7 linked regions of the Macaca fascicularis genome follow. The protein of the gene in region 1 interacts with the protein of each later gene in a pairwise test. Links are inferred from orthologs where the notes say so. Each region holds a gene or a part of one and is shown in the gene's direction. Other genes may lie near its edges. The genes, in order: CDC5L, GOLGA2, MYT1L, YWHAZ, DISC1, TRIO and KIF5B.

Region 1 (3,783 bases):
CTTTTATTGTCCAGACTGGTCTCAAACTCCTGGGCTCAAGCGATCCTCCTTAAAGTGTTGGGATTATAGGCATCAGTTACTGTGCCTGGTCTAGATTTTTATTAGTACAATGTGGCCTACATATGGTTTTATTTATTTAATGGATTCATCTTTCTGAGAAAATCAGGGACTCTGGCTATCATGTTTTTAGCACAGAATGCTGTTTATGGCTCTTAAGTTGAAGTGCGTGACTCTTAATTGACTGTTTACTCTTTGAATCACTTCTTAACTTTTAGGTACTTTTATGAATAGGTTAGTTTCACTGGTGGCTGGAATCTGTCAAAATTGAGTCTGGTTTTTTTAGTCTTTAAAAAAATTTGGTTTTTTTTAAGACAAGGCCTCACTCTATCACCCAGGCTAGAGTACAGTGACATGATCACAGCTCACTGTATCTTCCACCTCCCAGGCTCAAGTGATCCTTCCACCTCAACCTCCCAAGTAGCTGGGACTACAGATGTGTGCCACCATGACTGGCTAATTTTTTATTTTTTGTAGAGAGGTGGGTCTTGCCATATTATCCATGCTGGCCTTAAACTCCTAGGCTCAAACTGTCCTCCCTTTGCCTCTCTCACAAAGTATTGGGATTACAGGCGTGAGTCACCACGCCTGGCCCTTTTAGTCTTTTCTAGTGAAAAATTTTGTTTTTATTAAGATGAAATTAAAAGAAAAAACTACTGATCCTTTCACTTGATGGGATAGATACACTTTTATAAAATCTTTATGTTTTAGAAGATAGCAGATTTTCCCTATTTCTTGAGAATTTTAGTTTCTTTAAATCTCATATCTGAATATTGTAGGGAAAGTATTTTATGGTTGTCAAGGATTTTTAAAAGTTTTCTGCTCTGTTGACCTTTAATTTCTGTTGATATGAATTGTTACAAAACAACAGCTATCGGCCATTGTAAAATAGGATTTTCTTAGATGTACTCCATTGTATTTATTCCTCAAATTAGGACTTTGCTTTAGGTAGGCTGTACAAATAAAGAGACGGAACAGGAAAACTATTGATTTGGAAGGAGTACTAAGTGGGGGAGGCAAGAAAGACGCAGAAGGGGAGGAGGTATTCCTGGAGCTTTGAAAGACTGCTTCGAGCCTGTCTTTAGGCTTCTTAATCATGTTTAGATGTTGCTTGTCAGTATTAAAACAGCCTTTTTAAAAAACTTGTGAATTTTAAGAATCATGACAATTTAGTAAGTTTTAAAGGGAAATTTAAATACTATATTTTAATATTATTTATTTCATACACATTGTCCTTTTTACATACTTGTCATACTTTTTCCTATGTGCACACACATTTTCATTGAATGTTCATAATATAGGAATAGTTTTTCTTTTGACATTATGTGGAATGTTTTGCTTATCACAGTCTTCATACTTATATGTTTTAATATTTAGTACTTCAATTACTTAGGGTATGTTATTAATAATTTTATTGCTATTCTGAGTTTGCTTTTATCTTGAATATAGTAAGTAATGGTGTAGGGGACCACTTAATGCATATTGTTTTTGCCTTTTTTTAGTTCTTTTCTTTTCTTTTCTTTTTTTTTTTTGAGATGGAGTCTTTCTCTATCGCCCAGGCTGGAGTATAGTGGCAGGATCTCAGCTCACTGCAACCTCCACCTCCCAGGTTCTAGTGATTCCCCTGCCTCAGCCTCCGAGTAGCTGGGATTACAGGCACACGCCACTACGCCTGGCTAATTTTTGTATTTTTAGTAGAGACGAGATTTCGCCATGTTGGCCTGGCTGGTCTCGCACTCCTGACCTCAGGTAATCCACCCACCTTGGCCTCCCAAAGTGTTGGGATTACAGGCGTGAGCCCCTGCACCCGGCTTTTTTAGTTATTTTCTTAGAAATGAGGTTGGTTTGTTCAAAGGGTATGAGTATTTGTATGAATTTTAATGTTTTTGCCTATATGTAACTTACAAATGTCTTTTCTACCTTGATCCATGACAGTGAAAAAGAAGGAAGAGATAGAAAAAAAGACAAACAGCATTTGAAAAGGAAAAAAGAATCTGATTTACCATCAGCTATTCTTCAAACTAGTGGTGTTTCTGAATTTACTAAAAAGAGAAGCAAACTAGTACTTCCTGCCCCTCAGGTAATCTGATAAAAGCAAATTTTTCACTATGTGAATTTATATGCTTATATCATTTATTCAGCAAATGTTTGAAGGCCTGTGTGCCAGGTTTGTGCTGGATGCTCTTAAGAAATTCACAGTTTAATGGGTAAGACACACATAAAAACAAGTAATTGTGGGCTGGCTGCGGTGGCTCATGCCTGTTATTTTAGCACTTTGGGAGACCAGGATGGGCAGATAACCTGAGGTCAGGAGTTCAAGACAACAGGAGTTCCTGCCCAGTGTGGTGAAACCCTGTCTCTACTGAAAATACAAAAATTAGCTGGGCGTGGTGGCACACACCTGTAATCCCAGCTACTCAGGAGGCTGAGGTGGGAGAATCACTGGAACCCTGGAGGTGGAGGTCGCAGTGAGCCAAGATCGTGCCTCCGCACTCCAGCCTGGGTGACAGAGTGAGACTCTGTCTAAAAAAAAAAAAAAAAAGAAAAAGAAAAACCCACAAGTAATTGTGATATAGTATGATAAGATAGCTTCAGCTTCTCTGTATAAATTATTGTATCAGGTCTTAAACTGCTCATATGATGGTTTGGTAAGTAATCGTCAGCTCTTAACATTTTGTCAACAGGTTAGGATTTTAGGCTTCTTTTTTGTAGCTGACAAGGGTAAAGGTGTGGTTTGGCTTTGTGGACTTTAAGCTACCTTCTCCCAGGGAATGTTTTGTTGTGTTTTGCTTGTCTTTTTTGAGACAACAGTTACGAAAATCAATGTAGGAGTTGTGGAGAAAAGATACAAACATTCTTTCATTCAGCTTGTTACAGGCTGTTTTCTTTTTACTTATTCTAGTTGATCAGAAACATGGGACCTTAGAGTAACCTTTTTTTTTTTTAATGAAACTGAGTCTCGCTCTGTCGCCAGGTTGGAGTACAGTGGCGCCATCTAGGCTCACTGCAACCTCTGCCTTCCGGGTTCGAGTGATTCTCCTGCCTCAGTCTTCTAAGTAGCTGGGACTACAGGCGTGCGCCACCATGCCCAGCTAATTTTTGTGTTTTTAGTAGAGACAGGGTTTCACCATATTGGCCAGGATGGTCTCGATTTCTTGACCTCATGATCTACTCGCCTCGGCCTCCCAAAGTGCTGGGATTACAGGTGTGAGCCACTGTGCCTAGCTAACCTTCTTTTTTTTCTGTTTTGAGTAGTACAGCTTTGTAGAATTGGACAGATTTAATGGTGCAGAAGAAAGGACTTAGGAGACCAGAAGAACTCTTTCCCCCTGTGAGCACATTGGCTGCATCAACACAAGATTCTTGGGCATAAACTAATTTTGTCGTATCCTGACATTCCTAGTGGGGATATTTATTAAATTGAAATTTTGTCTTTAATTTTTTTCTTAGTACACCTTAGGATATTTATTTTGGTAAAATTACTAACACAACACCTTTAGATTTTCTTAGGGATCTTGTGGCTCACTGGAGTATTTCTGTGTGATATTTTAATTGGTTTTCAGTCTTCCTCCTCCAATTTTGTATAAATACTGCTATTTTACATTCTTGGTACATTGATACGTTGATTTGAAAGAATTTCAGTATAGAGATACAGCCTTTGTAGCTTGATTTTATATCAAATGTGAATTTTCCCCTCACATTCTGTAAGGAAGACTTTCTAAAGCT
Region 2 (3,783 bases), on another chromosome or scaffold:
CAGCCAGCTTTTTCCGCTGTCTGCCCATCTGGCCTGTCAGATATTAGAAGACCTCTAGAACCAGAGGCTTGGGTCAAGAGTAAGGCCAGAGCCTCGAGAGAGGCCGGGTGGGGCTCTGATCAAGCAGGTAGGTCCAGTTGGGGGCGAGGGAGAGGCTCCATGTGACCCCAAGTTCTGAATCCTAGGATTGTCCCCAGGTACAATTCCCAGGAAAGAGGCCCCATAACTTCCAAGTTGCCAGGAGCCATAGGGCAGATGTCTTACCTCTGTTTTCTTGGGTGGTTTCTTGGTTGGGTAGATGTTTTTGGAGGTAAGAGGTTGGGGTGGGGGTGGTAGCCATGGTTTATTCTCCTTTTACCTCCAGATAGTTGGGGAGAGGCTTCTAGTTGGGTAATTTTTTTTTTTTTTCCTGGAAAGGTCTGAATCAGAAACACAGCCAATAGGCCAGGTTCAATGGCTCACACTTGTAATCTCAACACTTTGGGAGACCAAGGTGGGAGGATCACTTGAGCCCAGGACTTTGAGACCAGCCTGGGCAAGATGGCGAGACCACATCTCTATAAAAATTAGCTGAGCATGGTGGTGTGCTCCTGTAATCTCCGCTACTAGGGAGGCTGAGGTGGGAGCATTGCTTGAGCCCAGGAGGTGGAAGCTGCAGTGAGCTATGATTGTGCCACTGCAGGGGAGAAGGGAAGGGAGGAAAGGAGGAGAGAAGCAGGCAGATAGCTACATTGCCCAGACAACTACTTCCTCATCACCATCCTCTGCCCACTAGGGGCCCAGTTAGGGTCACTCTGCAGCACAGACTGGCCTTCTGGAAGAACAGTGCCTTTCTCCTCCCTGACTTTGGCACACCTTCCTCCCACCTGCTGTGGCTGCCACAGGTCAGTGCCTGCTGCTGTCTTTTGCTGAGCTCCAGAGAGAGCGAGGTCCTCGTGTTCATGAAGGAGGCCGTGCAGCCCCTGCTTTGAGCTTTGGCCATCTGAAATGCTGCCTAGCAGCCCAAGGCCTGGGCAACCATATCCACACCCCTGAGTGGCTCCTAGCATGTGTGACTGTCACTGACTGCAGCAACACCTGTCCTACCTGTTCCACACCCTTGTGTTCATGGCACTGAGGCACCTTCTATCCCGCATGGCCCCCTAACCCCCTGCTCTGTTCTGTGACAGACACCCAAGGACAATGCTGATTCTCTACAACCGTCTGATGACACTGTGTTACCTGGCGGTGTCCCTTCCCCTGGTGCCAGTCTCACTAGCATGGCGGTATCTCAGGTTTGTGCCTCCTCCCCCTCTGCCTACTCCCCTCCTGTACCTACTATGGATTATCTTCTCTTTTCACAGGTAGCTTGTTCCCTAGGGCCAAGGGCTCTTCCTGGGGAATGGGCTGGGGGAAGGCTCAGACTAGGCTTTTTCTTGAGGTCTGGGGATATGGAAGATTGTTGGAATGAGTTTGGGAGCTTGACTCACCCTGTCCTGGGTGATTCTTAGCAGACATTGAATGACCATCTCATACGTTTCTTCCCACACAGAATCATGATGCTGACAATGTCCCTAATCTCATGGATGAAACTAAGTGAGTGTCTCCTGTTGGGGCAGCAGTCTCTAGGCCGAGAGAGTCAGGGAGGCCACTGCCCATGACCTTCTTTCCCATTGAGCCACCTGCACCCCTGACCCCTGTGTCTCCATCCCTAGGACTTTCTCATCAACCGAGAGCCTGCGACAACTCTCCCAACAGCTCAATGGTCTTGTTTGTGAGGTACCTCAGGAATTGAGGCCCAGAGTGGGGTGCGGGGGGAAGGGAACTATGATAGAAAGAAACTGAGGCAGGGATTCACAAGAGAGGGAAGATCCTGGACCAGCCAATGTGCTGGGCAATGTTGAGGAAGTCGGCTTTTCCCTGAGCTTTCTCCCTTGAAGTTGTGCACATGAAGGAGTTGGACCCTGTGACTGGTTGCATCATTTTATCCTGCTGCAGAAGCACTGGATGAGAGGTGCTCGGGAGGGAAGGATGGTGGGGAAATAAGAACCATGAGAGAAGTTGGCACAAAGGGGTTACGGGACAAAGGGTCCAAGTTAGAAGAGAAAATGTTGCCAATTGCTGGGGAAGAAAGGAAGTCAGAGGGCTTAGACACTGAGGGGACAGAACATCTCCATGTGCACTCTCGTCTCTTATAGTCTACGACATGTGTGAATGGGGAGGGCCCTGCATCATCTGCTAACCTGAAGGATCTGGAGGTAAGAGGCCCTGGGCCGTGGCCCAGTGACCCTGCAGGCCAGCCCTCCAACCTCCTCCCATAGCGGGGGCTGGGTGCCCCTCTGCCAGCTGAGACAGCCCACACACCCCCCAACCCTAATGATTGCTCTCTCTACCTCTCCCCCCAATCCTCCTCCAACTCCTCCTCTCTGCATGCGCCTCAGAGCCGGTACCAACAGCTAGCGGTAGCCCTGGACTCCAGCTATGTAACAAACAAACAACTCAATATCACGATAGAGAAATTGGTAAGAGTCCAGTGGGGTCCCCTGATTCCACGCTGCTAATCCTGGGCTCCAGTTTCCCCTTGGGACCCTGAAGAAAGGGGCAGGGGGCCCCTGGTGCCAAGGGCGAATGGGGAGCTGGGGGGCCCAGGCCTCAGCTGGAGGGACCCCAGAGCACGGAGCATGCAGCATGGCTCTTCTGTTGCTGCCCTCTTTGCCTACTCTCTCTTCTCTAGACACCCCTGCTCGAGTCCTTGCCACACATGCCCTGGGATTGTTGCCTCTTGGGGAAGCACTAGCCTGACTGGTTGTCAGGAGCCCCGTATTTCCACCCTGACTCAGTCCTTAATTTGCTCTTGGATTCGGGACAAGCCACCTCTCCTTCTTGGGCTTGCATTTCCTGAGGAGGTAGAGTTAGAGAGTATCAAAGGTCTCTTAGCTCTGAGCGTTGAAGATTTAAAGGCCCACTAGAATGTAAACCTCAGGGCCAAGGGCTCCTGTCTGTCTTTTTCTGTCTGATATCCCTGCTATTAAGAACTGTACCTGGCCTATATGTGCTCAGCAAATGTTTGTTGAATGAATACACCTTTCTAAATCACAAACTGGCAGAGGGTGGGCTTTTCTCACACTCCATCTCTAGAGGTTTATGTTACTGTCCTTTCAAGAGAATCCAGATTCAGACTTTCAGTTCTGTGGTTGTGGGCAAAAACCAACAAAGACACAAATCCCCTTTCCTTGGGAGCCTGAGGAGAGTTGAGCAGTTCGTGTTCCCATTGGGTCTGAGAACTTTGCCTTTAAAATCCATTCCTGGCTCCTGCCTACCCCTTCCTGGTCTGGGGAATAGGGTTGAGGGGGCCACCCTCAGTCACCTTCCTTTGACTCTTCCCCACAGAAACAACAGAACCAAGAAATTACGGATCAGTTGGAAGAAGTAACGTGATTTCTTTGTTTGCTCACAACATGACAGCTGGGTTTGGGGGGCACTCAAATGTAGAGGCCTCAGTCTCGTCTCACCCGCTCCCAGCCTGGGGAAGAAGGCTCACCCCCCAAGATTCCACCCCATCCCCACAGGGTCCCTGATAACCTGGTCCCATGGGTGGGCCGGTCCTGGGGCATTGGTGGCATTCTGGGGGCATGTCCCTTGCTGTGCCATCTCTGCCTCCCCCTAGTAAGAGCTCTGTCTTCCTCTTCCTGTAGGAAAAGAAAGAATGCCACCAAAAGCAGGGAGCCCTAAGGGAGCAGTTACAGGTGAGTGGAGGGGGTGAAGTTCCGCCCTGTCCTCTGGAGAATGTTTCTTTCCTTCTTT
Region 3 (3,032 bases), on another chromosome or scaffold:
ACAGTTTGCCCGGCTAGGATAGGAAAGAATAGCCAGAAACACCTCTGAGACACTCAACCAGAGGTGAGCTGGGCTGGGCTCATCCAGGAGGGCCCGCTGAGGGCCGGCAATGGGGAGGCCTCTGCAGGGTTCCCTGAGCACAGACAAGGGGCTGAGGGGCCTGGAGCAGCGGCCATCTAGGAAAGCCACCGGGTGCACAGGGCAGGAGCCACCATCTGCTCAGGGAGGTGCCCATCCTGCTGCTGGCCTTCCCCCTGCGTGGGCCCTTTAACAACCTTGGGACCTGGGCAGTGGCGCCTCACCCGAGATTAGATTCCATCATAGAAAACCTATGTCTCTTTACACTGACATCATCTCTAGTGAGGTCCCAGCCACAGCTGCCACCAGCTGTGAGTGCAGGCACGTGGCCGCCCAGGAAGGGTTACAGAACGCTCTGGAAGACGAGCACGAGGCACGCAGCCCTTCGGGGCCCACCCAGGAGTCGTGGGAGGGCAGGCATCCACTCCTGAGCCTGCAAGGGGGCAGCTGGGAGGGGAACAGTAATTTGATAAATAATCCCAAGGAACACAAATGAGAAGGTCACCAAGGACGTGCATGGAAACAAAGCTGTGTGATTTCGGTGGGTTCTCCACAGGGCACCATCCCTGCAAGAATGGTGGGGGCTGCGATTCCTTCCAAGGAGAAGGCCCACCCTCCCCACTTCATCCTGGAGGGTATCTCCAAGGGGCACCAGTTTTCTAACAGAGGGTCTGTGCCTGGGGCTGGTGGGAGAACCCGGGATTTGACCCAGTACAGCCAAGGGAGGGCCAGAACATAGAAGACAGGACCAAGAGGGAGAGGAGGAGAGACTCTCATGAGAGGACTTGGGAATGACACGTCGGGGAAGGAGCGGAGAGGAGCGGGTAGGCCAGGCCAGCCCTGGACTCTGCGGGTCAGCTCGGTCTTCCAGAGAGAAGCCCCAGATCACGCACGGCAGAGGCACCCCTGGGTGGCCGAGGCAGACACCCCCACGGACAGGGCAGCTCCCTGCCTGCTGCGTGTGAAGTTAGTCCTGTGCCGTTAGAGGCCCTGACCTTGACCTTGATGATACTTAAATTATCTCTGGAATATGCAAGGAAGGGTCCGCGGTGGGCCTTTTTCCTTAGAGAAATGCAGGAAGACCACCCTGTGGGCACAGTGCCAGCCCGGTGCCATCTGAAGAGATAGTGACACCCCCACACAGAAATGAGCATTGGAGGACTTAGCTGTGGCAGAATTTGATTCAGGCTAGAAAGGAGAAGTATTCGCATCAAGTCAGTAAAACACTAAGCCCCCACACACTGCAGTCCCGTCAGGCCAGCTGAGAGAACAGGATGGCGCAAGGAAACAGTCCCACTTCCCCAGTTGTCAAGTGCAGTGAATCCAAAGCATAGACAGCAGGTCCTTAAACGGCAAGCGCTCACCACTGAAGCCTTTTTCTTTCTTTCTTTCTTTCTTTTTCTTTTTTTTTTTTTTTTTTTGTGAGACGGAATCTTGCTCTGTCACCCAGGCCGGAGTGCAATGGTGTGATCTCAGCTCACTGCAACCTCCGCCTCTCTGGTTCAAGCTGTTCTCATGTCTTAGTCTCCCAAGTAACTGGGATTACAGACGCCCGCCACCACGCCCGGCTAATTTTTGTATTTTTAGTAGAGACAGGGTTTCACCATGTTGGCCAGGCTGATCTCAAATTCCTGACCTCAAGTGATCTGCCTGTCTTGGCCTCCCAAAGTGCTGGGATTCCAGGCGTGAGCCACCGCGCCCGGCCCGAAGGCTCTCTCCTTCAGCGAGAGGCCCCTTCTTGGCACCCAGTAGGCTGTGGCCCCCGGCAACGGCCACGGGCTTCTAGGTCCTCCTGGTGTTACATGTCACACGCACTTGTGCGTTTCAGATTACCACGATGGAGAGCAACCTGAAGACCATCGAAGAGGAGAACAAAGTGATTGAGCAGCAGAACGAGTCCCTCCTCCACGAGCTGGCGAACCTGAGCCAGTCTCTGATCCACAGTCTGGCCAACATCCAGCTGCCACACATGGTAAGTGACTGAGCGCGCAAGGCAGGAATGTGGAGTCCTCACAGCGCACAGCCTAAAGTAGATGCCGTTTTTGTTGTTATTTTCATGGTTCTTCAGCCTTTGGCAAATGTTTGTGGTTACCACCCCGAAACCATACCGTTAACTGCTAGAAACATGGGCGGGGCTGACCCCATAAACTTAAGTGTGCTCTGAGCCGGCCTTTGAAATAGTATAAAACCAAGGGCACTATGCTATGATACTATTTTATGCTTTTGTAAATATACTATTAAGAAAATAAAAGTTGTATATGAACTACTATTTAATATCTCGTAGGATCCAATCAATGAACAAAATTTTGATGCTTACGTGACTACTTTGACGGAAATGTATACAAATCAAGATCGTTATCAGAGTCCAGAAAATAAAGCCCTACTGGAAAATATAAAGCAGGCTGTGAGAGGAATTCAGGTCTGAACAGCTGCTGTAGTGATGAAACTCTTGCTTAAAAAGGATGCCTCTTGTTTTTTGCTGCTGTAACTTTCCAGAAAGTGTTCTATATTTATTTCTGTTTGAAACAGTGTTATGCTTACAAGACTTCATAATGATTTTATGTCTTGCTTTAAAGATAGTACCTGCAGAATAGTTTTTGAATACACCCACATTTTGTACGTTTCCATGTAAGCTGACATAGTGTTCTGCCATGTAATGTTTATAGCTGCTGATGTATGCACATTTGGGGGTATATCTATTTCTGAAGAGGTAAGCTGATCAAAATAAATAGAGTGTAAATTCTTTTTAATGCTTTAGTGATTAAATGTTTTAGTATTTTGAACTGAAATGGACACACACACACACACACACACACACACACACAGCTTTGAATGACCATGTTGTGGCCAAGCAGCCGCTTTTTAGACGTTATCATTTTGCCTCATGTTGGAGGACTTTATGGAATTTAAGAAATACATTTTGTGTGCATATTGTTTCATAGCAAGAATTGGTT
Region 4 (4,409 bases), on another chromosome or scaffold:
TGAACACTAGAGATATCAATCAGATATATCCATTTACAAATGAATAATAGCTAGGTAACTCTGTGTAAGAAATATACGTATGTGTATATTCGTTTAATCCTCAGCATCACCTAATGAGTTAAGTGTTTTTGTTGCCAGTATTTTATTGCCGTGGCTATCAAAGCACATAGAGGTTAACCAACTTGAGTGAGGTAAGAGTTGCGCATTGAAGAAAATAAAACAGGTCAGGGTATTAGTGAAAGTCTCCAGCAACGTTCCCAGGGTTCATAGGTTCTATTTATTCTGCTCTGTATGCCATAGGTTATTCCTTATTTCTTGAAAGATCTTTTCCTCAGGACTTTCATAACATCCCCTGTTCCTTTCTTGCAGCTTCATTGTATCTTTATTGTGCAGACACGTTGACTTGAGTACGTAAAACCTAACAGTGCCTATTGTTGCGCTAAAAAATGCCTTTCTATTAAAGCATGAGGCAAAAACCTAACTTAGCTCTTTCTTTCCTAAACTCACAATTTATAGAGAAACCCCTTAACCTCCTCTGAAACAAAAGGCATACACGCTACATAGACATATATTTGAGACATTAAAGAAACATGAATTTCCATTTTAAAAAACGTTTAACTTAGTATCCTCTGTCAAATTTCTGGTGCCTACCACAAAACTGGAAAAAACTGTTAAAAAAAATAGCTTTTGAAATATTAGTCATTTTAAGTGAGTCACGCCCTAAAAAGAATTTACTTGAGAGTCAAAGCTAGTTGACCCTAACATCTCAGAAATAAAACTCCAATTTGTTCATCTATTTAACCTACCATGAATTTGTGATTTGGCAGCTTGTGAAAAACAACAACAAAAAACCCACTGAAATGGAACTGGTCACTGGAAACTCTCTTTCTGGTCTGTACTATCTAAATGCCAGCTGTCATGTCAAGCAAAAAGTAATTTGTAGAGCAGCTTTGTGGTCCACTGTATTATGCAAGAAAGACAATGTACTGGAAGAGCGAGGACTCAGTCATTTCGTGTCTACTACTGAGAAACTAAATTCTGTAGAGAACATGGGGCTAAATGAAGCTCAATAAAGATACGTTGGAAGAATCAATGAGGAGTTTACACAAGGGTAAAATAAAGAGTTCCAAGCGCTCTCATTGCTAACCGTACAGTCTCTATGACTGTTGCAAGTGGTTTTGCAGGTCATCCAGGCACTAACCTTTTCTTAGCCCGAACACATTTAAAGAGTGAAGGGGCAGCGCACTGTGAATGTTTCTCTCTGAACTTCCTTAAGTCAACTGGGCGGAGGCCCTACCCGTTCAGGCACCTGCAATTTCCGCCCTTCTCCTTCCCCTTCTTCCGGGCTACTGTCCTCGCTCATCACCCGGCCCGTGGTCCACTCCCACCGCCAGCTGGAACCCTGGGGACTACGACGTCCCTCAAACCTTGCTTCTAGGAGACAAAAAGGTAATGATAGTCATGTGTTAAGTCACTGCAGTATGAGGTCTTCACGTGAAAGCTTTATTTGGGTAGGAAAACCTAGCCTACGAGAAACGGGTCCGTGCGGTCACGCCTGACTGCCTGTCTCCGGGTCAAGGCTGCCAGGACCAGCTCCAGCCCTCCGCCAGAGAAGGTTGTCCTTTCCCCTCGGAACTCTGGCTTCCCTAAAGCGGACGCGCCTCCTTCCAGGCCTCACCTCCCGCCGGCTCCGCCCGGCCCGGCCCGGCCCATCTCGTCCCCACCTCGGCGCCCACCCATTGTCCCCTCGGGCAGTCACCGAGCGCAGATCCCGAGCTCTCGATTGGAACGCCTCCCCATCACTCAGCCACACTCGGGCTGGACGCCTCACTCCCGTTTCCGAGCCATAAAAGGTCTAGGGCCGCTTCCCCCAAGCCAGCAGGTAAAGCCGCGGCGGCGGGAGGGAGACCGGGAGGGGCCGCGCGCCCCTCCGGGCAAGGGGAGCGGCGGGGGGGCGGGGGGAGCGCACCACACACAACCCTCCCTTGCCGTGCGACCGCGCCCGGCCCCCACCCCGCAAGTCCTGATCACAATGCCGGAGCCGCCGAGCCACCCTCGTCATCCTGCCCGGGGACGGCCCCGGGGCAGTTACTACCGCGAAGCACGGAGGGCGGGGCGGGGCGGGCCGGGCCTCGGGGAGAGGTGGGGGGATGTGAAAGGTCCCGGATGTTGCTGAACGGGAGCCCCTTCCAGAGGGAGTGACTGGGGCAAGCGCAGACGGCCTGAGCGAAAGCTAAGGTGGGGGTAGGGAGAGAGCGCCTTCCCACAGGCTGAGAGGAAGAGTGGACCGGCGGAGGCCACAGGGGAGAGGGAGAGAGAGGGCGTCGGGGACCCAAGGGGAAGGCGAGGAGTGGGGGGGTTTGCGGGAAAAGAAAAAAAAAGCTTCCTGCCTAGGTGCACTCGGGACAAGCGTAGAGGAGCTGGGAGCCGAGCGGGGTGGGAGAAGTGGCGGCTGCGGGCGAGGACGCACGCGCCTCCGCTCGCCCTCCAGCGCGGGCGGGCAAGACGCGCGCCGGGGAGCGGCGGTTGCGCGGGGCCCAGATCGCTGTGGGCACCAATCAACGGTTGCCATAGCAGCGTTTGACGTCATCGTGCGTGTGGTGCCCCTGCTGCCGGGGCTGGTGATTGGAGGAAACCCCGTGTCTGCGGAGCGGCTGTAGCCTGTGAGCAGCGAGATCCAGGGACAGAGTCTCAGCCTCGCCGCTGCTGCTGCCGCCGCCGCCCAGAGACTGCTGAGCCCCTGTCTGTCCGCCGCCACCACCCACTCCGGACACAGGTGAGGAACCTGGCCGCCGCCGCGCCCCGCTCCTTCCTGTCCCAGGCCAGCCTTCCGAACGCGTGGGAGCCGTCCTCGCTCCGTCCTCTCATCCCCACTAGCCCCGCGGTGGCGGCGCCGGGCTGAGGCGGAGTCTCCTCAGCGGACACGGGCGGCGGCTCCTCTTCCGCTGAGTTCGGGCGGGCGGCTAGCGGCCGCCTCCGACTCCTTGCTTCCGCATCGACGCCCCGGCGCCGATCGGTGCTCGCTCCCCCGTCCTGCTCCCGGGGGTGGGGAGGGCGCCCACACGCGAGATCCCTGGGGATCCCCCTGTCGCCGGCTCCCAAAGGTGGACGAGGCATGGCCGGGGCGCCGCCGGCCGCGATCCGTCCCCACCCTTGTCTCTGCGGGCTCCCACCCCCTCCCTCGTCGCCCTTCTCGCTTCCGCCCGAGATAATGACTCGGCGGCGGCGGCGGGCATCGCAGTGGCGCAGGTGAGGCCGCCCCCTCTTCTCTCCCTCGGCCGCCCCCTCCTTCCCCTCCCCCGCCCCCCTCCCCCTCGCGCAGCCTCTGCGCTGGGCGCTGCGGCGGCGGGACCCGGCCCTCCCCCACCCCGGGAGGCGGCGGCGCGGCGGGGAGGGGCCGGGGGCCTCGGGGATCCAGGAGCGAGGGAAAGGCCTGGCCGAGAGCGGGCCGGAGCCCAGGCCTGGCACGGCGGCGCCCGCCAGGTAGACCGGGGCGAGGCCGCGCGCCGGCGCGAGGGGGAGCACACTGCGGGGTGAGGTTTTGGGGTGGGGCTCTCCTGCGACCTAGAGCTGAATTTCGTGGGCTCCGCGGTGGGAGGAAGGACTTGAAATTTCCTGGTGGGGGTGGGGGATGGGTCTGACTTTTTTTGCTCCTTTCGAACGGGCGGAGGAGGTGCGGACGGGGGCTGCGAGTCCAGGTGGGGGTAGAGAGCGGGGTGGGGAGCCCGCCGTCGGCTTCCGTGCGTGATGGACTAGAACTGGAGGTTCCCTGCGCTCGGTTTGGGGACGCATATCCTGCTTTGGGGGCGGGTGACCCTGAGCATAGCCGCTGGTGGCCCGCTCTGCTGGGTGTGGCTCTCGTCCCCTCCCCCACCTGCAGCTGTCGGTCCCTTAGAGACGCTGTACACGGGCATCGGCGCTGATCGGTGGCGGGGAAGGCGCTGGGTGGGAGAGCGGGGTGTGTCCGTGGCGGGGCTGGTAGTGGTTCCGCTTCTGCGGGCGGCTGTGGCGTCTCTGCCCCGGGGTCGGGCGGCTTCGCTCCCCCCCACCCGCCGCGCCACGGCTTGGGCGGGGGCGCGGGCTGCTCCTCCCTCTGGCTTCGGTCGGAGGAGGGGGGAATTAACACTCTGCAGTAGGTTGGGCTCCCTGACACAGATCCGCCATGACAAAGGAGAGTCGGGGACTTGAGCGGAGGCTCCGACTTGGGCGGAGCCTGGAGGGGGGTGGTTGCGGATAAGTGGACCGGAGGATTTTCACTTTAAAGTCCGGGTCTGCCGGTTTTCGTTTCGCCGTAGTCGACGTCTCAAGTCAGGTAAGGGTTAAATGGGTGCGGTGAGTCCTGCCCGCAGTGTAGAGGCGAGGCCTTGGAGCACTCATTACTGTGTGAGAAACCTTATCCACTTCCTCTT
Region 5 (3,783 bases), on another chromosome or scaffold:
CCCTGCTTGAACACCCAGACGAGAACCCGTTTCTTAAGAGAACTACAGCCTTATCTATTACTGTTTGCTAAGTTCTCTTTGATTGTTTCCTCCATATGAGAAATAACTTTATAGGTTAGAAAACGAAGAGCCCAACAGCTTAAGAAAAAAAAAGAACCAACCAACCAAACCGGAAAAGGCAAACTCTCTGCCCTTTGATGGACTCTATCTAGTCTTGAGTGCCCTTCCTAGTCCCTGGGAATATACTAACAGGTAACAGCAGGTTAGACCTGGAGGGGTTTCAAAGTCATCATCTCAAGAGAAAACTAAGGCTTTAAACGGTTTGCATAGGGTGACAAGACTGGTTAATGGTGAACAGAGACCGTGTTAATAACTGAGTCTGGTCCAGAATGCCTCTCCCGACTTATGGTGACCCCAAATCCTGTATTTCTCGAGGAGATTTTGATTTCAAGCATTCTGCCCTTTCCACTGTCAAGAGTATTTGCATCTGACAGTTGCCCCGCCCCAACTTGGGGTTTAGCCGGAGTTATGGTCACGCCAACTGCATATCATTGAGCATCTAAGTTGGCCATCTGTCTCGGCTAAGAGCTGACTCTTCCATTTCCTTTTTAAGACCTGACTTGAGATAGTCAATACCTCAGGCATTGTAGAAATTGCAGTCATTCTTAAAAGAAAAAGTATAAAATTTATATTAATATTTAATTCATACAATTTGAAAGAACTTGAAACTGCAATTAGGTGGCAGTGCCCATCTGCTTCCAGTAGGCTCACGTGCTCTTCGATCCCTTGGAGGCTGCAGAGGGCCACCATCACCTTCGAATGTGCTCCTTAACAACGTGCCCACAGTCTCTCAAGAGGGAGCTCCAGATGGTGAAGGAAACTCTGCAGGCCATGATCCTGCAGCTCCAGCCGGCAAAGGAGGCGGGGGAAAGAGAAGCCGCAGCTTCCTGCATGACAGCTGGTGTCCGGGAAGCACAAGCCTGAGGAGAGACGGGATGGGGGAGGGAGGTGGGCCACCATGTCAACAGTTTGGACCTGGGGGGCTGCTATCCCCTCCCCCTGCATAACTAATGTGCCTGAGTTAATTATGGAGATACAGAGCCTTGAGGTCTTTCAGTGGAAAGGTGGCTCATGTTCATTCTCATGAGTCTGAGGAGTCTGCAAATTGGAATATGGAGAGAGAGACGGATTTGCTGAATTTCCTTCCAAATGTCACTCAAAAATTTCTCTTCCATGTCATTCATGGGAATGGCTTGCACAGGATTTGAGAATATTTTCATCTCAGCCCCCATTAGAGAGAAGTTGGGGTGAATTCTGGAAAAATGTCTCTTTTCCCTGTAGCATTTGTCTTCTGCTGCGACTAAAATATTTCCTGATTCAAGATTCTATAAAAAGGAAACCAAGCATAACACTCTGTCATCATACCTGTTACACATTCCTACAGGTGCACAATCTAAGAGAGCTAATTAACCTCAGAGTCTGGAATTAACAGCTTTTCACCTTACTTCTCCTGTGATCTAATATTATCTTAGAAAAATTAATACGCAACTTTCAAAAGATATTTTGGTAAGACAGCAGCCTCTCAGTGGTATGCCACCTTTCAATTTTCCTTTTGTGGCAATGATTGCACCTGAAGAAAGGATCCCTGAGAGTCTGTGTTTCATCAGGAAATTTATGAAATTTACCCACAGTGAGGCTGTGGATGGATCAGGGGAAACCTGTATAAAATGTTTGAGCCTGTTCTGTTTTCCCGTGGAACCTGTTTCACTCAATGCCAGGCAGTGCAGCATTTAGGAAAGCAGTGCAGTACTCAGTAAGGCAGTGCAGTACTCAGTAACACAATACAGTACTCAGGCAGTGCGGTACTCAGTAAGGCAGTGCAGTACTCAGTAACACAGTACAGTACTCAGTAACACAGTGCAGTACTCAGTAATACAGTACAATACTCAGTAAGGCAGTGAAGTACTCAGTAATACAATACAGTACTCAGTTAGGCAGTGCAGTACTCAGGGAGTACAGTACTCAGTAAGGCAGTGCAGTACTCAGGAATACAGTGCAGTACTCAGTAAGGCAGTGCAATACTCAGTAATACAGTGCAGTACTCAGTAACACAGTGAAGTACTCAGTAATACAGTACAGTACTCAGTAAGGCAGTGCAATACTCAGTAACGCAGTGCAGTACTCAGTAACAGTGCAGTACTCAGTAATATAGTACAGTACTCAGCAAGGCAGTACAGTACTCAGTAAGGCAGTGCAATACTCAGTAACACAGTGCAGTGCTCAGTAAGGCAGTGGAGTGCTCAGTAACACAGTGTAGTACTCAGTAGGACAGCACAGAACTCAGTGACACAGGGCAGTTAGTACTCAGTACTATAAGTATAGGCAATGTAGTACTTAGTAAATCAGTGCAGTACTCAATAATGCAAGGGCATTTCAGGCTCCTGCTGGGCTGCTTCTTTGGCCCAGCTGGGACTCCTATTGAGACAGCTGCAAAACAGGCTGATTTCAATTAGGCAGCACTTCCCAAAATGCACTGAGGAAGGTGGCCCCAAGAGATGCTCTCTAAACAAAGGAGTCCCCTCTCCGGTCAAGTGCCTTTGATAAATACACCATACCATAATATCTGCTTGGAGAACCACAACGCGCATTAGCATATTAGTCTGAGAGAGAACTTATAGTAAGTAAACTCACTTGATTTTATCTAACCTCAAACTTTCCAAGCTTAATGGATCGTGAATTTTTCTCATGTAACTCCTATTCATATCCCACAGATCTAGTATTGTACAGCACTGCATTCTCTGAGGAAGTCCAAGTCCAAACTCTGATTTACATCACTGTAGAAACCACACTCACAGTTTTGCAGAGTGTTGAGCTTAATAACTACCTGCCACAGATCGGTAAATTTAATCCAGTGGTTGTTCTGTCTGTGCTTCTGTTCTCATATATGTGATTAGGGACAGTGATGTTCCTGCCTTCACTAGGATCCATGGATATGAGGCCATTTTTGTTATTTCCTGAAGTCACACTGGCATTTCCAGAAGGCATCTGGTGCTTTGCTCAGCCTTCCATGCTGTGCCGCACTTCTGTCCTCAGTCAAGGAGATGGCCCTGCTGAAGCCAGCAATTGGCTGGGGTCCAGGAAACAAACCAAAAACACAATATGTGAATGTGCTGATTGTGTTCCCTATGGCTTCATCTTGAGCAAAATACACTCTACATATTTTAATAATAAGTATAATTAGCTTGTTCCTGGACTTCATTTTTCAATGATGAACCAAATTCCTCAATTATTTATAATTGTGTCTAAAGAAAATTATGAACTGGTCGCATGGCACTTGGAGTCCTTGAATTAATTCCAGTGAAGCAAAACTTGGGAAGAGTCAGGATTGGCCACATTGCCAATAACAAATTCCTACTTCGACATATATCTTTTTAAAAAGCCTCCCAGACATAAGACATCTTAACCGTCACTAGCCCAAGTGTTTTGTATTACACAGACACCATCATGAAATAATTCTGTGAGGTCATGATGTATTTGAAAATTCTGCAAGTTAATAACTGCCTTGAATTATTTGAACCCCAAATAAGGGTTCTTTGGTACCTCTAGTAGATAGTGTGTTCATTTCCCTGCTGCAAATTTTGAAGTATTTGGGCAGGTGAGTAATGTTTTAACCATGTGCTGTAACTCATCTGTTGTCTTGGCTTGGTCTTAGAGTGTCGTTCAGAAAGCCTGCTAAGGGCCAGAGTGCTTCTTCTGGCTACACAACCTCCTCAGGACAACCCC
Region 6 (4,491 bases), on another chromosome or scaffold:
TGGTTATAATCACATTCTGCTTTATTTTTTTGCTCAAATCGTTTCAGCTTTGGCCACTGGGAGCGCTTTCAATTAGCTCCTGTGTCCCTTTGAGGTACCCCCACCACTGCTGATGTTGATTAAAAATTTTTCTTTTCACGGGGGGAGCAAATTCCTCACCTTTTGGCACAAGGTGCTCCAGGCACACCTTGAGTATTTCCTGTTCCAGTCCTAGAATCAGCCATTTCCTCAAGGAGCTCTGGTTCCTTTTATTGGAGAATGGTATTAGAAGCAAGATCAGAGTGCTAGGTGTATTCCTTGCTACAGTGTTGTGTCTAGGCCCACTCAGCTGACAAAGCAAGGAGATACAAGTATGTGTACTACCCTCTATCTACAAATCTCTGTACAGACCCATTATATATATATGAATACATAATATAGATATAGACCCCAAACATGAGTCCATACCGATGTCTCCAACTCTAATTCTGTACCACAAGGATCACTCTAGCCTCTTCCTGGCTGTAACCTCCCACTCCAACGGTGAAGATTTGATAGCCACCATCCACCATTTATATTTGTCTATTTCCAGTATACTCGTGTGGTGGTTTCACCACCCAGTTGCTTTTCATATCTCTTGCTTCCGTCTCTTGCTTCCGTTTCCCCCCGACAGTGGATCCTTTCACTCTCCTTGGAGCCGGGGCATAGGCGTTTTGAACTAGAATATTCGTCCAGCGCTGATTTGACACGGATCTTCTGCAAAGGACCATATTTTTTGGCCTCCCCAGACCTCGTCATCTTCCCCATTCATTCTGGCGGAGTAAGGACTGAGGAGCCGTGAACCCGAGGTTCAGCAGCCTAAAGTCCCCTGGGAGATGGGGATACACCGAGAGGAATCCCATCTTACAGGAGAGCTGTGTACCCGTAGGAGTATCGTGGACTCCAGGACTGGAGTAGATAACCTGTTATCAGGCCCTCTCTGTTCACTCAACAACTATTAAGAAGCCCCCTCCCCGAGCCAGGGCCGGCGCTGCGCCCACGAGGGAGGCACCCGCCCCGGACCGCGTCACCCCGCCCTGCGGGCTAGACGACGAAACGCTTCGGCGCTCAGGGGACAGCGCTCCGGTGCAGGAGCCAGGGCCCCAGTGGGGGGCGCAATGCCGGGCCTGAGAAGGTCCGCTCGGGCTGGTCAGAGCTTTCCTGATCCTTTCAAGGCTTGCAGCTGCCTGGGTGAGGGAGACCGAACCAAACCGAACCTTCCCGCAGCCTTCCGGCCGGCCCTGCGGGCGCCCAGCAGCCCGACACGGCACCGCCCCTCCCGCCCCGCTCCTCCCCCCAGGCTCCGCCCACCGCCGAGCCCACGCTCGGCCCCTGACGAGGTTCGCCGGAAATTCCCGAAGCCCCTCTTTTTTTTTCCTTCCTCTCCGTTCCCTGCTCTCCCTTTTCCTTTCACCCGGGTTCCCTCGGCCGTGATTTCCCCTCCCCCTCCTTCCTTCCCCATTGAAATCAAGATGGAGGCTCGCGGCAGTCGCCGGCGCCCGTGATCCCGGAGCTTTCGCCGGCCACGGGCCCCCGCCCTCGCGACTGCGCGTCCGGGCGGCGCGCACTGCTGCCAGCGCTCCGGCCGGGGCCCCGGAGGCCGTGGCTCCGCGCCCCCGCCCCTCGGCCAGCTCTCGGCTACCGGGCGGAGTCCTCGTCTATGTGGGCGCGCTCCTTGGGCCGAGCCGCCGCCGCCGCCCCCCGCCGCCCCGGGGCTCTGCGTCCGCGCGCCGGGCGCGGGCAGCTGGGTGCTCGGCGCCGCCAGGCCCGGCGCAGAGCGGGCGGCACGCGGCGCTAGGGGCGCGGGGCCCGAGGCGGGCGCGGCCGCGGGCGCCGCCGCAGCCATGAGCGGCAGCAGCGGCGGCGCCGCCGCCCCCGCCGCGTCCTCCGGTCCCGCCGCGGCGGCCAGCGCGGCTGGCTCGGGCTGCGGGGGCGGTGCAGGCGAGGGGGCCGAGGAGGCGGCCAAGGACCTGGCCGACATCGCGGCCTTCTTCCGATCCGGTGAGTGCAACAGCGGCTGGCCAGCCCAGCGGCGCTGCCCCAAGCTTTCGGCCCATCCGCCGCGGAGCTGCCAAGCTCCGGCCACCACGCGCCGGTGCCCACCCGTCCGTTGGGGCCCGCACGCTCTCGCCTGGGGCCACTGCTTCCACGCGCCGGGGCTGCCCGCCCCACATCCGCGTGTCCCGCTGCCCGCGCAGCCCGGCGCGCGGCAGCTTGGCCCGAACGCCACCACTTCGCCTTCCCTACACCCGCCCTCGTTCCAGGGCAGAATCCCCTGGTCTCCCGCTCCCGGCAGCCGCGGCTTCGCGGGCTGGGGCGCCGGCTCTTTGTCTCTTTCGCTGGAGGACCGAGGAGGCGGCGGCGGAGGAGATGGCGTGGGCGGAGGCTCTTACCCCGGAGACCGAGCGGACTGAGCCGGGGCCGCTCCGGGACGGGAAATTGGTCTCTGATCTGTGCCTGTTTGTGCCTGATTTGTACCTGGACCCTCCTCGATCCCAGTAGCAGCTGGGTTTCTTTGCTTGGCCCGCTAGCCTGTCATCTCCCCAGCCTCGGTCTACACTTCTGTGAAACGGGGCAGTCACGGCATTCACTGCCCAGGGAATGGGAACGGTGGCCGAGCTGAAGCTCAGAGGGCCGGGAGGCGCGGTGAGCCATTGTCTCCGGGGACGATCCGGGAGGGTCAGCTGGGAACGTGGCCCCGGGGGGGCAGTGCGGGACTAGGGCTCGCGGGGCACTGCATGGGTGGCGTGGAGGTGGAGGCAGTGCTAGGTGGCCCCGAGTCCACCCCGGCGTGGAGGAGGTGGCCGCGGGAGAGGCGCGGGTGGCGACCGGTCCGTGGGAGGGGCGCCGGGTTTGCTGCGCAGGGGGCGTGACAGGGCGTCCCCGGTACCCCAGCGGCGGCGCCTCCTCCCGCCCCGGCCCAGATCCCGCGCGAGCCGGGCCCGCGTCCCCGTGTCCCGCGTCCCCGCGCCCAGTCCCGTCTGCTCGCGCGTCGGCTGAACAGCAGCAGCAGGAGGAGGCGGCGGCGGCGGCGGCCTCGGGGCCCGCAGCCCAGAGCGCAATCCTTAGCGGGCCGGGTGCGGGGCAGGGAGGATGCAGACTCTGCGTTGGAGAGCGGAGGAGGGCGGGCCAGGTCGGGGCCTGGAGAGGCGGGCGGGGGTGCTGGTGGCGGCCCCGGGGAGGACGGCAGGGCTGGGGACACCGACGGGCCAGGGGAGCAGCCCTGCCCTGGGGGACGCGCGGGAGGTCGGCGGCTCACGCTTTTCCGTGGCCTCTTTGAAAATCACCTCCCCAGATTCGGTGAGATCAGTTCCACAATCCGGGTCACAAGGAGCAATTGCAGCGGGAGGGCGATGGTGAGAGTGAGAAGTTAGCAGTGCTGGTAGATACCTGGTTTAGTACTGTCTTCCCTTGGTTGTCTTGATCTTTGCTAGGCGGGGTTATTTTTGATTCATTTTAGCAGATTGGTTGTGGCTAGGAGTGACACAGCCGACTGTCCAGTGTTAGCTTGGGGTTAATCTACTCCCCAGTGCTCACTCTCCTTGTGAGGTCCCTGCAGAAAGCAAAGGTTAGGAAAACATGAGCTCCTTCTAAAGAAAGCCACCCCCACCTTTTTTTTTTCCCCGGTGCGACTGGCCAGGTAGAGCAGCCCCGTCTTACCTCTTAATAGCAGAACTGGGACGTATTCCATTCATGCCCTGAAGCTAAAGTCTAGCCTGTCTTCTTTTTCTCTCTACCACCTGTCACAGAATAATAGATTCTGTGCAGAATTCAGCTCCTCTACAGCTGTTAGAAAGGCTCTTCTGCGTTGGAGATGGATTTTTTGGTGCTTGTGAGACCAGGCTTTTTTACATCTCTATTATGCATAGTAGAAAAATCACTTCTGCTGCTAAGAGCCCTCCCTAAAAGACACCGAAGACTTGCTGCCTGTCGGCGTGACTCTCTCCAGGAGTTGTCGTCTGCTCTTGGCTTTGCTTAGGCCTGTGCTGACCCAGCCGCTGGGGCTCCTGTTCATGTTCCGTTTGGGTCAGAACCAGGTAATGTTGCTCACTGGCTTGTTCCTTTCTTCCCCCCTCTGAAATGACAAACTTAACTTTTACTTGTTTCACTTAGAACCACGAGCCAGGGCAGAACTTAAGTAGGTATCATCAGATGCAGCGTCCCATTCCGGGGATAGCCTGGAACGTCTTTTTAAAAGTGAAATCTCCTTTGGGCAGCTCTGAGTCCCTGACCTAGATCTTGGCTCTAGCATCTAGGCCAACGATGTCTAGCAGGGGGCAGAGAGGGGCCATTCTGTTGGATGAGTGGGTGTGGGAGTGGGGTTTGAACGGTCAGGGCTGACCAGGTGAGGAAGCTGAGGAGAATGTAGTCAAATCCATCAGAAATCTGGGTTTCTTTTTCTAAGACGCAGAAATATGGGAAAATAGGTTCTCATTGACTAGGGAGGACAGATCAGGGTGTGCTTTTGAGCCT
Region 7 (3,783 bases), on another chromosome or scaffold:
CTGATACCATTGCTTTATGATGACATCAACTGAATAATCAGTTCCAAGTTACTGTTGTTTGACCATAGTCTAGTTCAACTCATAAATAGTTTCTGTGACTTAAGATGTGTTCATGGTGAGAACTTGTTCGGTGTATGTTGTTATAAACTTTATTAGGTATCCCTTTTCTAATTTTTGATATGTATTTTATCCATATTGGCCAGCGGGGTCCCTATTAAAACTGGTAACTGTCCATTAGTCTTTTCTGGTTTGGTTGGACTTGCTTCTTTCCTTTGGATGATTGTTTCATTATTACAATTCTATACAGTCTGATTCTTGTCTGTATCAAATTAAGTTTGAATGTTATAATAGGGACCTCTGTGACCATTTTTGCTGTTGTGCTAATTTTGTTTCTTCTGCTTAGAATGATACATCTGTTCTGTTCTGTTGTGAAGTCTTATACACATCTTTCAAAGATTATCTAATGTTGAGAATTCTCCTAAGTTGTTTCTTCAGCCAACATTGCTAATTTATTGGTCTGACCTATCTTTAACATAGATACTAGCTGGGCGTGGTGGCACAAGCCTGTAATCCCAGCTACTGGGCAGGCTGAGGCAGGAGAATTGCTTGAACCCAGGAGGCGGAGGTTGCAGTAAGCCGGAATTGAGCCACTGTACTCCAGCCTGGGTGACAGAGTGAGACTCAGTCTCAAAAAAAAAAAAAAAAGCCACACAACAAAGATATTTAGATACTTTATTTTATTTTTTTTAGAAGAAGCAGGTTTGCTTATATAATGAGTTTAAACTCAGTCTCTGTTTTCTAATAGTTACAACATCAACATTATGCATTAGCCAGTTTTAGAAGTTTCCTCTTTTCTAATGTAGCAAAGGGGACTAAGATTAATGAACTACAAATTTACATTTAAAGTGGTTATTTTCAAGAGTACCTACAAACTACAGATAAAATTTGATGTCTCTCTAATCAAACTCTTAAGAGTAGTACTCAAGAAATGGTGGTACCTAAGAGTAAATGCTTGGCAAATAAGATCATGAAGCTTTTCATGTTCTTTTTTCTTTTTACTGGTTGTTGATGACCTCTGAAAATTTTAGAAAATTTAAAGAAAATTTTTGTAATTTTGTTCCGTTCTTTTGAAATCTTATGTATAGGTTAGTAAAACTGGAGCTGAAGGTGCTGTGCTGGATGAAGCTAAAAACATTAACAAGTCACTTTCTGCTCTTGGAAATGTCATTTCTGCTTTGGCTGAGGGTAGTGTGAGTATACATGTCTTCTATCTCCCTGTTACCTTACGGGGCATTATTTAAATATAGGTGTATATGTGTGCATGGGTGTTAGAGAGGGAGAGAGAGAGATTCACTGTGTTTGAATCAGTATGTGTAAGTTAGTTGTCTTTTGGGAGTTTATAATATTGTATGTATATCCTAGTTCACATTTTAATATCAAATAGTTAACTGAAATAACCTTTTAATTTATTTAAAGTAGCATATTTTTATAACATTTTATTGTACAGAAACCCACTGGTCTTGTTTTCTTTCTTTGTTTTTGTATGCAGACATATGTTCCATATCGAGATAGTAAAATGACAAGAATCCTTCAAGATTCATTAGGTGGCAACTGTAGAACCACTATTGTAATTTGCTGCTCTCCATCATCATACAATGAATCTGAAACAAAATCTACACTCTTATTTGGCCAAAGGTTTGTTGTTAAGAAAGTACAAAACCTAAATGTAGATAGACCTTTTGTTTATAAAATGTAGGAAAATGTGAGCTGTTATTCCAACCTGTACATATTGTTTTGTGCTAGACACACTCAATTTGAATTGATGACAGATAATACAAGATGGGCCTGTTTTTGATACTGCTTGGTTTAAGTTTTAGTACACATTAAAGTCAGATGTAATTTTAGTCAAATTTATGTGACAAGCTGTAATTTGGTATTAAAGAAAATAAGCATTTGACTCAAATAATGATGTAAAAGCCTGGCAAACATAATCCTGTGTTAGGCCTGTAGACATGCATGACAGGTTAACATCTATATGAGATGATTAGGAAAATCAGTAATGATGATTCCGTCTTTGACTTTCAACAGTAATTTCTTAATTCAGCCTTGCAAACAAATTGGAAAAATATAGGTCTTTGTCTTTTATTTTTAGTGATTTTTTTTTTTAAGCTATTGACGGATTTTGGAGCAGACTCAAATTTAGTTGGGTTGTAAATAACCTCATAGGTTGTGTCTTTTAGTATTTAGTCTAAGAGATTATTGGACAAGAATAAATTTCTTAGCCATATATACATATATTCCATATAGATAAAATTAAAAATAATTTCAGTCTCATCCCTTTTTTCCTCCAATTACATCTCTTAGGGCCAAAACAATTAAGAACACAGTTTGTGTCAATGTGGAATTAACTGCAGAACAGTGGAAAAAGAAGTATGAAAAAGAAAAAGAAAAAAATAAGATCCTGCGGAACACCATTCAGTGGCTTGAAAATGAACTCAACAGATGGCGTAATGGTAATAACTTAAGAATTTGTCATCTTAAGTTTGTTAAATACAGATTTAGAGCATAGAAACGTAGAAATAGTTCAGCAAAATCAGTAAGTGACTAGATCAAGAAATTTAATAGACATCGAAATAATTATTTAAAATCTAATAGAAATCCTGGAGCTGAAAAATAAAATGAGCAAAATGCAGTAGAGACCATCAGTAGTAGAATTAATTGACCAGAAGAAAGCATCTGAACTTGAAGACAGATTATTTGAAAATAACACAATCAGAGAATAAAAAGTTTAAAAGAACGACGCTGAGTGCAGTGGCTTACGCCTGTAATCCCAGCACTTTGGGAAGCCGAGGTGGGCAGGTCACCTGAGGTCAGGAGTTAGAGACCAGCCTGGCCAACATGGTGAAACCCCATCTCAACTGAAAATACCAAAATTAGCCTGGCATGGTGCTGGGCAGCTGTAATCCCAGCTAATGAGAAGTCTGAGGCAATAGAATTGGTTGAACCCTGGAGGCAGAGGTTGCAGTGAGCCTAGATTGCACCACTGTACTCCAGCCAGGGTGACAGATTGAGACTCCGTCTCCAAAAAAAAAAAAAAATTTTTTTAAAGGAATGAAATTGAAATTAGTTTTAGACATGTTGTTTCTTATTAACCACTTTATCATATTTTAGGGGAGACGGTGCCTATTGATGAACAGTTTGACAAAGAGAAAGCCAATTTGGAAGCTTTCACAGTAGATAAAGATATTGCTATTACCAATGATAAACCAGCAACCACAATTGGAGTTATGGGAAATTTTACTGATGCTGAAAGAAGAAAGTGTGAAGAAGAAATTGCCAAATTATACAAACAGCTTGATGACAAGGTAGGTATTTCCCGATTTAGGTCTGTTTTATATTAGGATACTATTGACATGAGTGTTTTTATTTTCTAATTTTTCATATTTTAGTGCTGTGGGCACTTAGGATCTTTATACATATTCCTTGATTTCTGTTAATCTTGTAAAAATTATTAACAAAATAAGTCATAATTTCTATGTGGAAACTGTATGAGGGTGTATCTTTTTTCCCCCTCTTTTTTGTTTTTTGTTTTTTTGTTTTTGTTTTTGTTTTTTGTTTTTTTTTTTTTTTGTTTTTTGTTTTTTGAGACAGAGTCTCACGCTGTTGCCCAGGCTGGAGTGCAGTGGTGCGATCTCGGCTCACTGCAAGCTCCGCCTCCTGGGTTCCCGCCATTCTCTTGCCTCAGCCTCCTGAGTAGCTGGGACTACAGGCGCCCGCCACCGC

The links.
Region 2: the proteins of CDC5L (region 1) and GOLGA2 interact in binary tests that used the Homo sapiens proteins (3 or more experiments, as listed by UniProt). The two-hybrid records come from large-scale screens. The link is inferred for Macaca fascicularis from reciprocal best matches to the Homo sapiens genes CDC5L and GOLGA2.
Region 3: the proteins of CDC5L (region 1) and MYT1L interact in a two-hybrid assay, tested with the Homo sapiens proteins (2 studies listed by BioGRID and IntAct). The link is inferred for Macaca fascicularis from reciprocal best matches to the Homo sapiens genes CDC5L and MYT1L.
Region 4: the proteins of CDC5L (region 1) and YWHAZ interact in a two-hybrid assay, tested with the Homo sapiens proteins (2 studies listed by BioGRID and IntAct). The link is inferred for Macaca fascicularis from reciprocal best matches to the Homo sapiens genes CDC5L and YWHAZ.
Region 5: the proteins of CDC5L (region 1) and DISC1 interact in a two-hybrid assay, tested with the Homo sapiens proteins (2 studies listed by BioGRID and IntAct). The link is inferred for Macaca fascicularis from reciprocal best matches to the Homo sapiens genes CDC5L and DISC1.
Region 6: the proteins of CDC5L (region 1) and TRIO interact in a two-hybrid assay, tested with the Homo sapiens proteins (2 studies listed by BioGRID and IntAct). The link is inferred for Macaca fascicularis from reciprocal best matches to the Homo sapiens genes CDC5L and TRIO.
Region 7: the proteins of CDC5L (region 1) and KIF5B interact in a two-hybrid assay, tested with the Homo sapiens proteins (2 studies listed by BioGRID and IntAct). The link is inferred for Macaca fascicularis from reciprocal best matches to the Homo sapiens genes CDC5L and KIF5B.

The regions. Positions count from the first base shown.
Region 1 is NC_088378.1:127,107,463-127,111,245, reverse strand, and holds part of CDC5L (cell division cycle 5-like protein), read left to right. Parts: intron 1-1,992; coding exon 1,993-2,137; intron 2,138-3,783.
Region 2 is NC_088389.1:15,712,785-15,716,567, forward strand, and holds part of GOLGA2 (golgin subfamily A member 2), read left to right. Parts: intron 1-1,169; coding exon 1,170-1,274; intron 1,275-1,531; coding exon 1,532-1,575; intron 1,576-1,694; coding exon 1,695-1,758; intron 1,759-2,177; coding exon 2,178-2,237; intron 2,238-2,420; coding exon 2,421-2,501; intron 2,502-3,369; coding exon 3,370-3,408; intron 3,409-3,674; coding exon 3,675-3,725; intron 3,726-3,783. UniProt on the Homo sapiens protein: Peripheral membrane component of the cis-Golgi stack that acts as a membrane skeleton that maintains the structure of the Golgi apparatus, and as a vesicle thether that facilitates vesicle fusion to the Golgi membrane.
Region 3 is NC_088387.1:120,355,600-120,358,631, forward strand, and holds part of MYT1L (myelin transcription factor 1-like protein), read left to right. Parts: intron 1-1,906; coding exon 1,907-2,050; intron 2,051-2,362; coding exon 2,363-2,503; 3' UTR 2,504-3,032. UniProt on the Homo sapiens protein: Transcription factor that plays a key role in neuronal differentiation by specifically repressing expression of non-neuronal genes during neuron differentiation.
Region 4 is NC_088382.1:110,578,130-110,582,538, reverse strand, and holds the start of YWHAZ (14-3-3 protein zeta/delta), read left to right. Parts: upstream 1-1,335; 5' UTR 1,336-1,449; intron 1,450-1,671; 5' UTR 1,672-1,882; intron 1,883-2,658; exon of another isoform or gene 2,659-4,312; intron 4,313-4,409.
Region 5 is NC_088375.1:17,053,789-17,057,571, reverse strand, and holds the end of DISC1 (disrupted in schizophrenia 1 protein), read left to right. Parts: intron 1-845; coding exon 846-984; 3' UTR 985-3,312; downstream 3,313-3,783. UniProt on the Homo sapiens protein: Involved in the regulation of multiple aspects of embryonic and adult neurogenesis. Required for neural progenitor proliferation in the ventrical/subventrical zone during embryonic brain development and in the adult dentate gyrus of the hippocampus.
Region 6 is NC_088380.1:14,798,203-14,802,693, forward strand, and holds the start of TRIO (triple functional domain protein), read left to right. Parts: upstream 1-1,478; 5' UTR 1,479-1,862; coding exon 1,863-2,019; intron 2,020-3,517; exon of another isoform or gene 3,518-3,571; intron 3,572-3,678; exon of another isoform or gene 3,679-3,818; intron 3,819-4,491. UniProt on the Homo sapiens protein: Guanine nucleotide exchange factor (GEF) for RHOA and RAC1 GTPases. Involved in coordinating actin remodeling, which is necessary for cell migration and growth. Plays a key role in the regulation of neurite outgrowth and lamellipodia formation.
Region 7 is NC_088383.1:32,759,428-32,763,210, reverse strand, and holds part of KIF5B (kinesin-1 heavy chain), read left to right. Parts: intron 1-1,145; coding exon 1,146-1,250; intron 1,251-1,549; coding exon 1,550-1,695; intron 1,696-2,364; coding exon 2,365-2,513; intron 2,514-3,171; coding exon 3,172-3,365; intron 3,366-3,783. UniProt on the Homo sapiens protein: Microtubule-dependent motor required for normal distribution of mitochondria and lysosomes. Can induce formation of neurite-like membrane protrusions in non-neuronal cells in a ZFYVE27-dependent manner.